Struthio camelus: one gene and its partners. The protein of the gene in region 1 purifies or fractionates together with the protein of each later gene. This does not show direct contact. Links are inferred from orthologs where the notes say so. Each region holds a gene or a part of one and is shown on either strand. Other genes may lie near its edges. The genes, in order: E2F1, RBL2 and SIRT1.

Region 1 (3,742 bases):
CCGGACGGCACGGACATCGCCGTACCCCAGCACGTCCACGCTTCTGTGCGACGGACGCACGGCTCTGATGCGGAGCCCCAGGCACCCGCGCGGCTCAAACACAGGGGTCTGCTCCCAGCCCGGCCCCAGCAGCCGAGCGCCCTCGACAGGGAGGCGTTGGTGGCCCCACCTGGGAACCTCTGCAAGGGGGGACACCAGGGATTCGGCAGTGCGGAGCCTCCTGCGGCCGCAGCCTCGCACACCTCCCAGCTGGCCAGCCCAAGCGCATCCCTACGGATGGGCTCTCGGCACGCGCAGCCTCCTGCCTGCCCGCGGGCCACGGCGGAGGCTGTGCCGGCTGCAGGCACCCCGGGCAGGTGACAGCACCCGACCCCGGTGTCCCTGGGGTGCAGAGCCGGGGTGCTGCCTGCGCCCATCGCCGCTCCCTGGGCGGGCACAGTGTAAGGCCACGCAGACACCCCCAGAGCGTTTCTGAGCCCCAGCACAGATGGGATTAACTGGCAGGAGCCGGGAAAGCGCAGGGCACCCGATCCTGCTGCCAGCAGAGCAGCACCGGGCGCCCACCGCCACGCAGCCCGTGAGCCCAGGGGGCTGCAAAAGCACCGGCCACAGCGCTCTGCTCAGCCTCCTGCAACAAAAGCTTTGGGTGACCCGTCAGAGGGGGCTGGCCGGGCCCATCGCCCCCGTCTGCCACGGCGGGGACCGAGGCGCCCCACGGCAGCAGCCAGGCAAACGGCGCGTCTGCGAGGGACCGTGCGGCAGCGGGGAACGCGCACCCGCGGCACCGAGCGCGGCACGGCAACCGGCCCGGGCAGAGGGGTGCCCGATGCCGGGGCGCTCCCGCCCTGCGCGCGTCCAGGGGGAGCCAAGGAGCGGGAGCCGCCGGCCAGCTCGCAGGCGCAGCCGGGGGCCGGCCGCGGAGGGCTCCTGCGCCAGGGAGCGCTGCGAAGCGAGCGCGTCCCGGGCGCGCAGCAGATGCGCCGCACAGGAGGGGAGGCAGGAACCCGGCCCAGCTCGGAGGCGCGCGGCTTCCGGAGCAGGCAGCGCCCAGCGGGGCCGCGGCTCCGCCGGCCTGACGCAACCCGGGGAGCGGGGCCCTGCTTGGCAGGTGTGCTGCGTGGCAGGGCCTGGCCCGCGCGCCCCACGGGGCGCCGCTCGGCACGGCCCGGCCCGGCGTGGTGCGGTGCACAAAGACATTGCATAGCATGGCACACGTAACATGGTGCAGCACGGCACGATATAGCACAGCACTGTGCAACACGGCACAACATAGCACGGCACGATATAGCACGGCATTGTGCTGCACGGCACGACATAGCACGGCACAATATTCCACGGCACTGTGCTGCACGGCACGACATAGTGCTGCACGGCACGATATAGCACGGCACTGTGCAGCACGGCACAACATAGCACGGCACAATATAGCACAGCACTGTGCTGCACGGCACGACATAGCACGGCACAATATAGCACAGCACTGTGCTGCACGGCACGACATAGTGCTGCACGGCACGATATAGCACGGCATTGTGCAGCACAGCACAACATAGCACGGCACGATATAGCACGGCACTGTGCTGCACGGCACGATATACCACGGCACTGTGCTGCACGGCACGATATACCACGGCACTGTGCTGCACGGCACGATATACCACGGCACGATATAGCACGGCATTGTGCTGCATGGCACGACATAGTGCTGCATGGCACGACATAGCACGGCATTGTGCTGCACGGCACAGCATAGCCCGGCACGACATAGCCCGGCACGACATAGCCCGGCACGACATAGCCCGGCTCGGCGCTGGGCCGGTCTAGAGGCCCCGCCACAGCCGCGGGGGCCCGGGCTCGCCGTTCCCGGTCCGCGCCCCCCGCCCCGCCCCGTCCCGTCCCGTCCCGTCCCCGGCGGTTACCGGCGGGCGGCCCAGCGCGGGCCGGCGCGGCGCGGCGCCCGGGCGGGCGGGCTGCGGCGTGGCGAAGAGCAGGAGGTCGGCGTCGGGGCGGCCGCCGCCCGGGGGCTCCTCGGCCGCCGAGACGATGAGGAGGCGCGGGGAGGCGCCGCCCAGCAGCGCCGCCAGCCCCGCCGCGCCGCCCGCCGCCATGGCTCACATCGCCGGCGGCGCGGGGCTCGGCCCTCACGGCGGCGCGGCGGGCAGGGCGCGGGCGCGGGGGCGCGGCCGGCCGGCGGGGGCGCGGCCCATGCTCGGCGCGGCGCGGCGCGGCGCGGGCGCGGGCGCGGCGCGGCGGCCCCGGCGCGGGCTGGCCGCCGCCCGCGGGTATTGTTCGCCGCCGCCGCCGCTCCCGGCCCCGCACGCCTTTGCGCGCCAAATCCTTTTTGCCGCGAAAGCGGCGCGAGCCTCGCCGCCGCCCGCCCATTGGCTGCGCCCTCCGCCGGGCGCCGCAGCGGCGGCGGGCGGCGCCCCCCCATTGGCTGACGCCGCCGGATTGATAGGCGGCGCCGCCCGCCCCATTGGCCGCGGCCGGCGGCGCCGGACGCGCTGACAGCCGGCCAATCGGCGGCGCCGCGCCGAGGGAGGGGCCAATCAGGGGGTAGCTCGGGGACGCTGCGGCAGCGCCGCGTGGGTGAGGAGCGCTCGGCCGGCCCTTAAAGGGGACGTGCGCGGCGCTCCTGGGGCCTGTGTTCCCCGGCCCCTCTCTGCCCCACGGCCCCTCCCCCCCCCAGGCCCCACAGCCAGTGCCCCACGGCCCCTCTCTGCCCCACAGCCAGTGCCCCACGGCCCCTTCCCCATCCCAGGCCCCACAGCCAGTGCCCCACGGCCCCTTCCCCTCTCTGGGCCCCACAGCCTGGGCCCCACAGCCAGTGCCCCACGGCCCCTTCCCCTCTCTGGGCCCCACAGCCTGTACCCCACAGCCAGTGCCCCACAGCCAGTGCCCCACGGCCCCTTCCCCATCCCAGGCCCCACAGCTTGTACCCCTCAGCCCCACAGCCAGTGCTCCACGGCCCCTTCCCCATCCCAGGCCCCACAGCCAGTGCCCCACGGCCCCTCTCTGTCACACAGTCTGAGTCCCACAGCCCTTGCCCCACAGCCCCTCTGGTGCCCTGCAGCCAGTGCCCCCCAACCCCTTCCTCTCCATGCACCCCGCTGCCTGTGTTCCCCCCGGCCTCCTGTGCTCCCCCTGCGCGGGTCCCCGCTCTGCCGCGACCCACGGCGGCTCCCTCAGCCGGGGCCAGCCCTTTGCGGCCCAGGCCCGGGGCAGCTGGGTGGGTGCCCGGGTGCAGGGGGGCACCCGCCCCGGGGGGCAGGCGCGGGCGGTGCTCTCCCCGCCACGCTCGCCTCGGTGGTGCCTCCGTCGCGAGGCCGGGGGCACGTTGTCCTGCCTCCCTTTGCACCAGTGTCGCAAGGAGAACCCATCCGGGGAGTTGCTCCTGCCGGACCCCCTCGCGGCCCGCTGCCGGGCTCCCCCGCGGGCGCAGGACCGGCCAGGCCGGCTCCCCCACGGGGGTCACAGCACCGGTGCACAGCGTATTTGCAGCCTTTGCCCCACGCATGAGCGATGTCACTCACTGAATTGCTGTTTTGCAAAGCAGGTTTCAGCCAGCCTCTCCCCGCTCCGTGTCATCCCCTAGGATCTGGCGTGCGCCCGCATGTGCTTCTTTTTAAACTGTAAGGTACGGTGCCAAATACAGATACCGTTCGTGGAGAACGCTGCTTGGTGAAAACCTGAGTTTTCTGTCCAACGCCCAATCTAGATGACAGATTTTCAGCCAGGCTAA
Region 2 (3,742 bases), on another chromosome or scaffold:
CTGGAGAAAGATATTTTGATGTAAGTAAATAAAATTTAAAAGTACAATTTTAGGAAATAGTTTACTTCCTAAACTACTGATAAAATGGCAGCGTTGCAAACAAGCATGACAATAACTATAGTTCGACGTACTCAAAGCCAGTCCTTCATCCAAACAAGACCGTGCTCAGACAACTCGAAAAATATTTCGGTATCTGTTGATGATCGTGTTAACTATATGTATTTACAGTTCTTTATTGGTTTTTCCTCACACAAGTGCAATCAACTCCAGTATTCAGATTACTATAAAATCAAGTTTTTCTCATTTTTCTGAATAACTCATCTGCTTAAATAAAAACAAACTCCGATCTCTTCAACGCTAAGAATACCTCTAAAAGTATGAAAAAAAAAAGCGAGTAAAACATTTTTATATGTGTTTCAATAAATTTCATTTCATAAATTCAACTTTCATTAATTTTTGCACTGTTTTTTGTACACCTACTTTTTCAATGTTGTTAGTCTTTTACAGCCCATATTCAGCTCCCTGCATTTCTGATTTGAAAAAGCTTTTTTAAAGAAACTCCTTTGCTTTGTTTAAATATATCCAACAGAAAACGAGAATGGGAGAGAAAGTGCATAACTAATGCTCATTTATTTGCCAGTCCATGTAATTGTTATAAAACCACCATACTGCTGATACATAAAGTCAATTATTTCATGAAGTTTTTCTTCATGACTTTACAGAAATAAACATTTGATAAAAATGTGTTTATCAGATTCTGATATCACTTTCTCTTCGTAAAGTAAGAACGCATGAAAAGTGAAGTCTTCTTCCACAAAACCGAAAACGTGTGAATGTCTGCACAGTCAATTAAAAAATGCTTTCTGATGTTAGTGTATTAGACCTTGTTCTAAGCAGAACACGCATGCAGACGTTAGGCTTTTGAACAGGCAAGCTCACCTGCTGCACCTTCTTCAAAACCAGAAGTTGGTTTCTGCCTCCCTTTGAGAGTGGGAGGGCAATCTCTGAATTTGAAAAAATCAGTGTTTTTGCTAGGTACTAATGCCCAAACGAAGCTATCCCACATCTGTGGCAATGAGCTATAGCACAAACATTCTGATTGTATAAATTCTACATATAAAAGCAGGAAACAAGAATGATGTTCAGTCTTTCCTCTCAATTTCTAAATTTTTCAAGTCGATACACAGCGATTAAGATTTTAAAAATTCCAAAAACCAGCAAAAAAAAAAAGTTACCTTTGTTCTGAACAGCGCAAAATTCGGGTTAAGGACACATAATTCCCCTCAACTGTCCCTCTGCTCACAGTTGGAATTGCTTTTCTGCAAGCCACATACAAGGCACACGCTAGCCAATGCAGATCGTTTCCCTGTGAAATGAAACATCAGGCATCGAAAAGACTCGATCAAAACGAAAAACACACTCTTCAGCTATGCACCCAGCACGAAGAAAAAGAATAAAACTGATTACACTCTCCGCTAACAATGTTCAAGCAACAGCAGAGTGATGCATTACCTCAAAGCTCTATTTAACGGTACTGCTAGACAGGACCATCTAAGAAGCCGGAACGATAAGAAAAGCAGATGCTAACACTGAATTACGTCAAAACAGAAACGTATCAACTACAAGTTACGTTAATAAGTTTCACAGCGAGCCGAAGTTTAACAGCATGCTTTCTTTTCAGCACTGCTCGTCTCCTGCGCTGCCTCGGCGTTACAATCGCAGCAGTTGCTCACTATCAAAACCTTCTTCCCTGGACGCAACAGGGGAATAGGAAAAGACAGTTTCCGTTTTTCTGTTATGCGGCTTAATAACTACTCGATGCGATTCCTAAAGACGGAAATTAATTCCAACCGTAACTATGCCTCTTTGACTAAACTGCAACGTTTAAAGGGGAGGCGAACGACAGGAAGGGGGCAGAGAAGGCGGCGACGGCTGCGGTTTCCCGGGCCGCCTGCTACCGCGGGCACAAGCGTGCGCAGACCCCCCGAGAGGCCGCCCCTTCCGAGCTTCTCAGCAGCCGACGATCAAGAGCAGCGGGGCAGAGGTGCGCTGCGGCCGGGCCGCTTCCTCCCTGGGGCAGGTGCGCGCAGCGCCCGGCACCGCAGGGCAAACGGCCGCCAAGGCGAGCGAAACCTGCCCTGCCTCGGCCGCAGGACCCCCGCGCCCCGGGGCCCTTGGCGGTGCTGAGCAGCTCCGGGACTGCAGTTAGTACCAGCCGAGGTGCTAACGCTAACCCCTCCGCTTGCTCGCGCGAGAGTTACGTAACTCCAGCACGGCTCGCCATCAGCGTTTGCTTTTCCGTTAATAAAACAACCCCCCCTCCCCACACCGTGTCCCGGCGCGGCCCCGCGCCGGCTCCCAGCCGCTGTCCGGCGCTCGCGAGCCCCGGGTTCGTTTTCCAACGGCCGCGGGGGGAGGGGCGCCGCGAGGGCCGCCGCCCCCTCACCTCCAGCGTGTAGTTGCGCTTCATGCTCTGGTAGCTGAGCCAGGCCTCGGAGCGGGCGCGCTCGTCCATGTTGAGGCTGCTGCAGAGCTCCTCGTAGCGCTGCCGCGTGTCGCCCTCCTCGGCCGGCGGGGACGGGGCGGCGGCGGCGGCGGGGTGGGGGGGGCCGCCCCCGCCCGCCGCCTCGGCCTCGTCCTCCTCCTCGCCCGGCATCCCCCGCCCCGGCGCTAGGGGGCAGCGCCGCCCCGCCCCGCCGCGCCGCCCACTGCGCCTGCGCCGCCGCCCCGCCGGCTGGCGACGCGCGTTCGAATCCAAACGCCCCGGCGCTGGGCCCCGCTCCCGCCCTCCGCCGCGCCTCGCCCTCCCATTGGACGGCTTGCGGGCGCCCAACCTATCCGCGCTCCCGGTGCGCGCAGGCGCGCCCCGGCGACGCCACAGACTTCCCCTCCCGCAATGCCGCGCGGCAGCCCCCTCCCGCCCTCCTCCTCCTCCCGCTCCCAGCATGCAGCGGGGAAGCACCGTGCTCTTCGTGACGCCACCGCGTCGGAGCGCGCGAGGTCACTTCCGGCGGCGGCGGCGGCTGCGGAGGGACAAGGTTAGGCGGCGGCGGAAGAGGGCGGGGGAGGGAGCATGGCGGAGGCGCTCCGCTGCGGCCCCGGGCTCCGCACGACGGCTGCTTCACCGCCAACAGCAGCGGGAGCCTCGGGGGGAAACGGCCGCGGGATTGGCGTAACCCTGAAGCGTTCGCCCGGGCGGGGACGCACGGTTGCAGTCCGCTCTGAAAGCACCAGGTGGCGCCAGAAAACAGGGGCTAGGGCGAGGCCTGGAGGGGCAGCGCCGGCTGGTGGTCCGTTAGGGCCTATGCCAACCGCCATTTACACTGTTCTTCTAAAGAAGCAACTATAATTTGTCACAGTATTCTGCGTTCTATTGGGATACATACTAATCTACTCTTTCAAAATCACTTTTTTTCATCTAAATAATAAAATCCCAAAATATTAAAAGATAAGCAAAATCTAGGTTAGGGATAAGGTGACGATGCTGTGGTTATACTGGCATACCTCCTCCCGTTTTTAAGCAACCGCGTTTTGTAAGTGATGTAAGATTTCTAAATGAGACCATTCAAGTAAACTTTTAAAATAAGGCCACTTTTAATTTAATGGCCTATTGAAATTTTACATAAGAAACATTTTCAGATGTTTTAGAAAGGCACTGAAATCTTTTTTCATCCCACAGGACTTCTGTTTACTGGTTCCTCCAGTGAGAAACCGCAGTCTCCTTACAAAACACAAGCAATGA
Region 3 (3,742 bases), on another chromosome or scaffold:
TATGACAGGCAACTTTGCTATTTAAAGACAAAATTTCTATCCTACATTTACCTTTTTTTTTCCCCTCAAGTTTGTAGATATTATTAGAATTACTGCAGGATTTATTATATTAATACCGGCCTTCAGTGGCCTGGATGTTGGCCTTAGTGACTTTTCATTCTATAAAGTGCTGGGCACTACGGTTTTTTGTATTTTATTTAAAACAATTCCAAATGTCTGACAATTGTAATTCCTTTCTCCTACAATCTTCACTTCACACAGCTCTCATTCTGAGACTGAATACAGTTAAATTAATGCACCACCATTTACAGATCAGTCGTCAACTAGATTTTAAGAGCACAACACTAAAAAGACCCACAAATACGCAGTCAGATACAGCTGAGTTACACACATTTGTTGGGCTGCTATCTGTCAGCTGAGCTGCAATAGCTGACCACATTTGCTGTCATAACTGAAACAGGATAAAAGCCTGTACACACTGTACACACTTTTATCCTGTTACAGTTATGACAGAAAACGTGCTGTCTTCAACCATCTGCATGAAACTCAACTCACCCATTTTACCTTGCAGCAGGGTTTGGTTAAGAGCACCACAGAGCTAAGGCCGCTGGCTGAGCCTAAGCAAGCCAGAGTTAACTCCATCTAACTCGACTGTGCGTCTAGATTAGGGAGCCCAGAGAGGAAAGGGGTACTTGTTTCACAACACACGTTAAGCTCACTGACGGAACGGTTAGAGGGAAGCGTCAATGTCACCCTCAGCACCTTATCAGAATATTACCCACTAAGACTTTTGGTTTGTCCTTTCCATTTGTTAGAAAACAGGTACAGCAACTGTAGCTTAATTTGTTGAAAAATCCAAGATCATAACCAAATGAGGACAAGTTACAGTCATCCTCTCCAAAGCAAAGAATCTTTATAGCAGTTTTCAACCTTCAAAATAGTGTTTCAGCTAGGTTACTTCACTCTTAAATAAAGAGCACCACAGAACACTATTTTTTATTCAGAGACTGCGTTGTCACATTCTTCACCTTTTCCTCATTTGCATTAATACTTTATTCTGATTGGAATGGAAAAAGAGTAGAGGACAGAACTGCACTTTTATATTTGCTGTTTTGTTCTTCTGCACTTACTATTTCTTATTATTAATCCAGACACTTGCAGCAGTTTTTCATTCCATCTCATCATGCATTAGTACTGATGTGTGCTAATCACTTCTTCATAACTCTTTTCTTCATAATTGCAATTATGAAGAAAGAAAACAAGTGATTAGTACACATCAGTAAATGTGAAGTGTTAAGTTTTAGTAAAACTACCTCCTATGTCTACCATGTAAGGAATCAAAGCTACATTGTTAAAAGACTCAAATCACAGAAAGGTCACCCATTATCTTGTATTTATGAAATGCTGTGATAACCAGGCTAAAGTAACTGTTTAAATTGTAACACTCCCTGTGCAGTTATTTGATTCCTCAGAGGAATAAAGGCAATTCTTGCCAGAAGTAACTGATACAAAGCAGAACATGCCCAGGATTTGAGTAACTTGAGCAAGAAGGCTTCGTCCAAGGCGTTTACAAAGGAATCGTTAGTTCAACTCTCCTGCTGCTCCAATGAAGTTTTGGAGCAACGGGGCTGTCCACGCATGCCGTGCGGCCCCTGTTCCCTTCCGCACAGCTCCGCCACCAGCACAAGTTGTCTGCAGAGCTTCACTCAGCTTAAAGGAAAAATATCTTTAACTGCATGTAAAGGCCTTACTGGCAGAACGCAACGTCTTTTACTGTTTAAGAAGTCTCTCCCAAGTACCACCTTAAAAAAAAAAATTCAAGGTCCTTGCGTACAGATACTGCCCAAACAGCATGCCTGCAAAGCACATGTTTTTAGAGGCCGAGAGTTCAGTTTCGCGCTCCGGCCGCTGACATCGCAGACAGGGCTGTAACTAGAGTTTACTGCAAGAGCTGGTGGAGACAGCTGCTCCTGTCCCTTTCACAAACGCTTCTGAGAAGCACAAGCGCAAATACGTTATCACAGCAGCAATCGTGAGGAGGAAACGGGGCTCGGGATTTTTCATTTCCAATAACTCCTTACTGCCAAAAACACAGCTCCCAGACAACAAAAACAAGAAAGAAAGAGAAAGAAGGTGTCAGAGACGCGAGCGGAGCCGGCCTCCTGCCCCGAAGCCCGGCACGAGCGGCCAGAGGGGCGCGAGCAAACCGGCCCGAGGCCGGGCAGACAGAGGCGCCCGCCGGCTCCCGCCGGCGCTCAACGGCCGCGACTAACGGCACGAGAGAGCCGCGCCCCGCCCCGCCCCGCCCCGCGCCGCTGCTCACCGGGCTGCGGGGCCGGCGCCGCGGCCGCCCCGTTTGAACACTGCGCCCGCCTGCAGCCAATGGCCGCCGCCGCCGCGTCGTCGCCGGGCGCCGCCTCCGCCCCCTCCCCCCGGCCCCGCTGCCGCGGCTGCCGAGGCGGCTCCGCCCGGGCCAGGCCCCGCGGCCCGGCCCTATTGTCCGCGCCGCTCCAGCCTGCCGCCGCCGCCTCGCCGCCGCCGCCGCCGCCGTCCTCCTCGCTGCCGCCGCCGCCGCCGCGCTCGGCGGTCACGGCCGCCGCCGCCGCGCCGGGCAGCTCCGCCGTCACAGCGGCGGCGGGCGCCGGCCCCGCGCCGCGGTCCGGGTGCTGGGCGGCTGCCGCTCCCCGCCCGCCGCCGCCGTCTTCCGAGTCGAGGCGCTGGCGTTTGGGAGCGGGCTCGGCGCTCTCGGCCGCGCCGCCGGGGCCGCCGCCGCCGCGGGGCTGGAGGAGCGGAGCCTCCCCGTCCGCCATCTTGGAGTAGCAACCGCCGCCGCCCCCCCTTCTCCTCCTCCCTCCCTCCCGCCCGGCGCAGCGCGCAGCAGCGCCACCGCCCCCTCCCCCACCCCCAGGGAGCGATTTAAACGCGGCACGTGACCACGCCACCGCCCACGCGGGCACCCGCCCCGCCGCGGCCGCAACAACAACAAACCGGGTCACGTGACGGGGGTAGGCCGCGGCGGGGGGGGGGGGGGTGCGGCCAGCGGCACGTGACCCCCGTGCCGGCTGAGCCCTCGCGCACCCCCCCCCCCGCGACGTGCACACCCCTCGCGCCACGGCGGTTGCTCGTCACGTGGCCGCGCGGAGCCCCGCCCGCGAGGGGGCGGAGCGCCGCCGCTGAGGGGAGCGTAGCGGCCGCCGCTGAGGGGGAACGTAACGGTCGCTCCGGCCGGGCCCGGGGCTGTGTCCGGTGCCCGTGCGTTGCCCGAGCGAGGTCGGGAGAAGGGAGGCGCCGAGTTCTGCCTGAAGTTTGTTTCCCCTCCCCGAAGTCCGCCGCAGGAGCTGGCGCCTGTGGTGGGACAGTGCCCGGCAAATGGCGGTTCCGGGCTTCCGTCGTAGGTCTACCTGTTTCTCCCGTTAAGTATTTACAAAAGAAAAAAAGAGAGAGAGGAAAAAAGCCCTCGCTCTTCTTTACAATGATCTTTAGAACGAGGATATGAAATACGCAATGCGTCTTGCTGAAGGGGGGGGGTGGGGAAAGGTGTTTCCTGTCACTGACTTCATCCCTTCTGTTGGATTTCTCTGTAGCTGTCTTGGGGTGGTGGGATTAAACCTGCCCCCAAAAACTTGTAAGGATCTCTCTCTTGGTACATTTGCCTGTCAGGTAACTTTACTGAAAGGTCTGTAAATGCTTTTCTGTAAACGTGGAGCTGGCTGACCTGAGGATAAAAAGGGAGATACTTAAT

The links.
Region 2: the proteins of E2F1 (region 1) and RBL2 purify together in Homo sapiens (affinity purification with western blotting; 3 studies listed by BioGRID and IntAct, with this or other methods). This does not show direct contact. The link is inferred for Struthio camelus from reciprocal best matches to the Homo sapiens genes E2F1 and RBL2.
Region 3: the proteins of E2F1 (region 1) and SIRT1 purify together in Homo sapiens (affinity purification with western blotting; 3 studies listed by BioGRID and IntAct, with this or other methods). This does not show direct contact. The link is inferred for Struthio camelus from reciprocal best matches to the Homo sapiens genes E2F1 and SIRT1.

Annotation. Positions count from the first base shown.
Region 1 is NC_090959.1:2,871,137-2,874,878, forward strand, and holds the start of E2F1 (transcription factor E2F1), read right to left. Parts: upstream 2,109-3,742; coding exon 1,920-2,108; intron 1-1,919. UniProt on the Homo sapiens protein: Transcription activator that binds DNA cooperatively with DP proteins through the E2 recognition site, 5'-TTTC[CG]CGC-3' found in the promoter region of a number of genes whose products are involved in cell cycle regulation or in DNA replication.
Region 2 is NC_090951.1:18,707,266-18,711,007, reverse strand, and holds the start of RBL2 (retinoblastoma-like protein 2), read right to left. Parts: upstream 2,657-3,742; coding exon 2,447-2,656; intron 1,367-2,446; coding exon 1,236-1,366; intron 1-1,235. UniProt on the Homo sapiens protein: Key regulator of entry into cell division. Directly involved in heterochromatin formation by maintaining overall chromatin structure and, in particular, that of constitutive heterochromatin by stabilizing histone methylation.
Region 3 is NC_090948.1:38,574,700-38,578,441, reverse strand, and holds the start of SIRT1 (NAD-dependent protein deacetylase sirtuin-1), read right to left. Parts: upstream 2,831-3,742; 5' UTR 2,811-2,830; coding exon 2,324-2,810; intron 1-2,323. UniProt on the Homo sapiens protein: NAD-dependent protein deacetylase that links transcriptional regulation directly to intracellular energetics and participates in the coordination of several separated cellular functions such as cell cycle, response to DNA damage, metabolism, apoptosis and autophagy.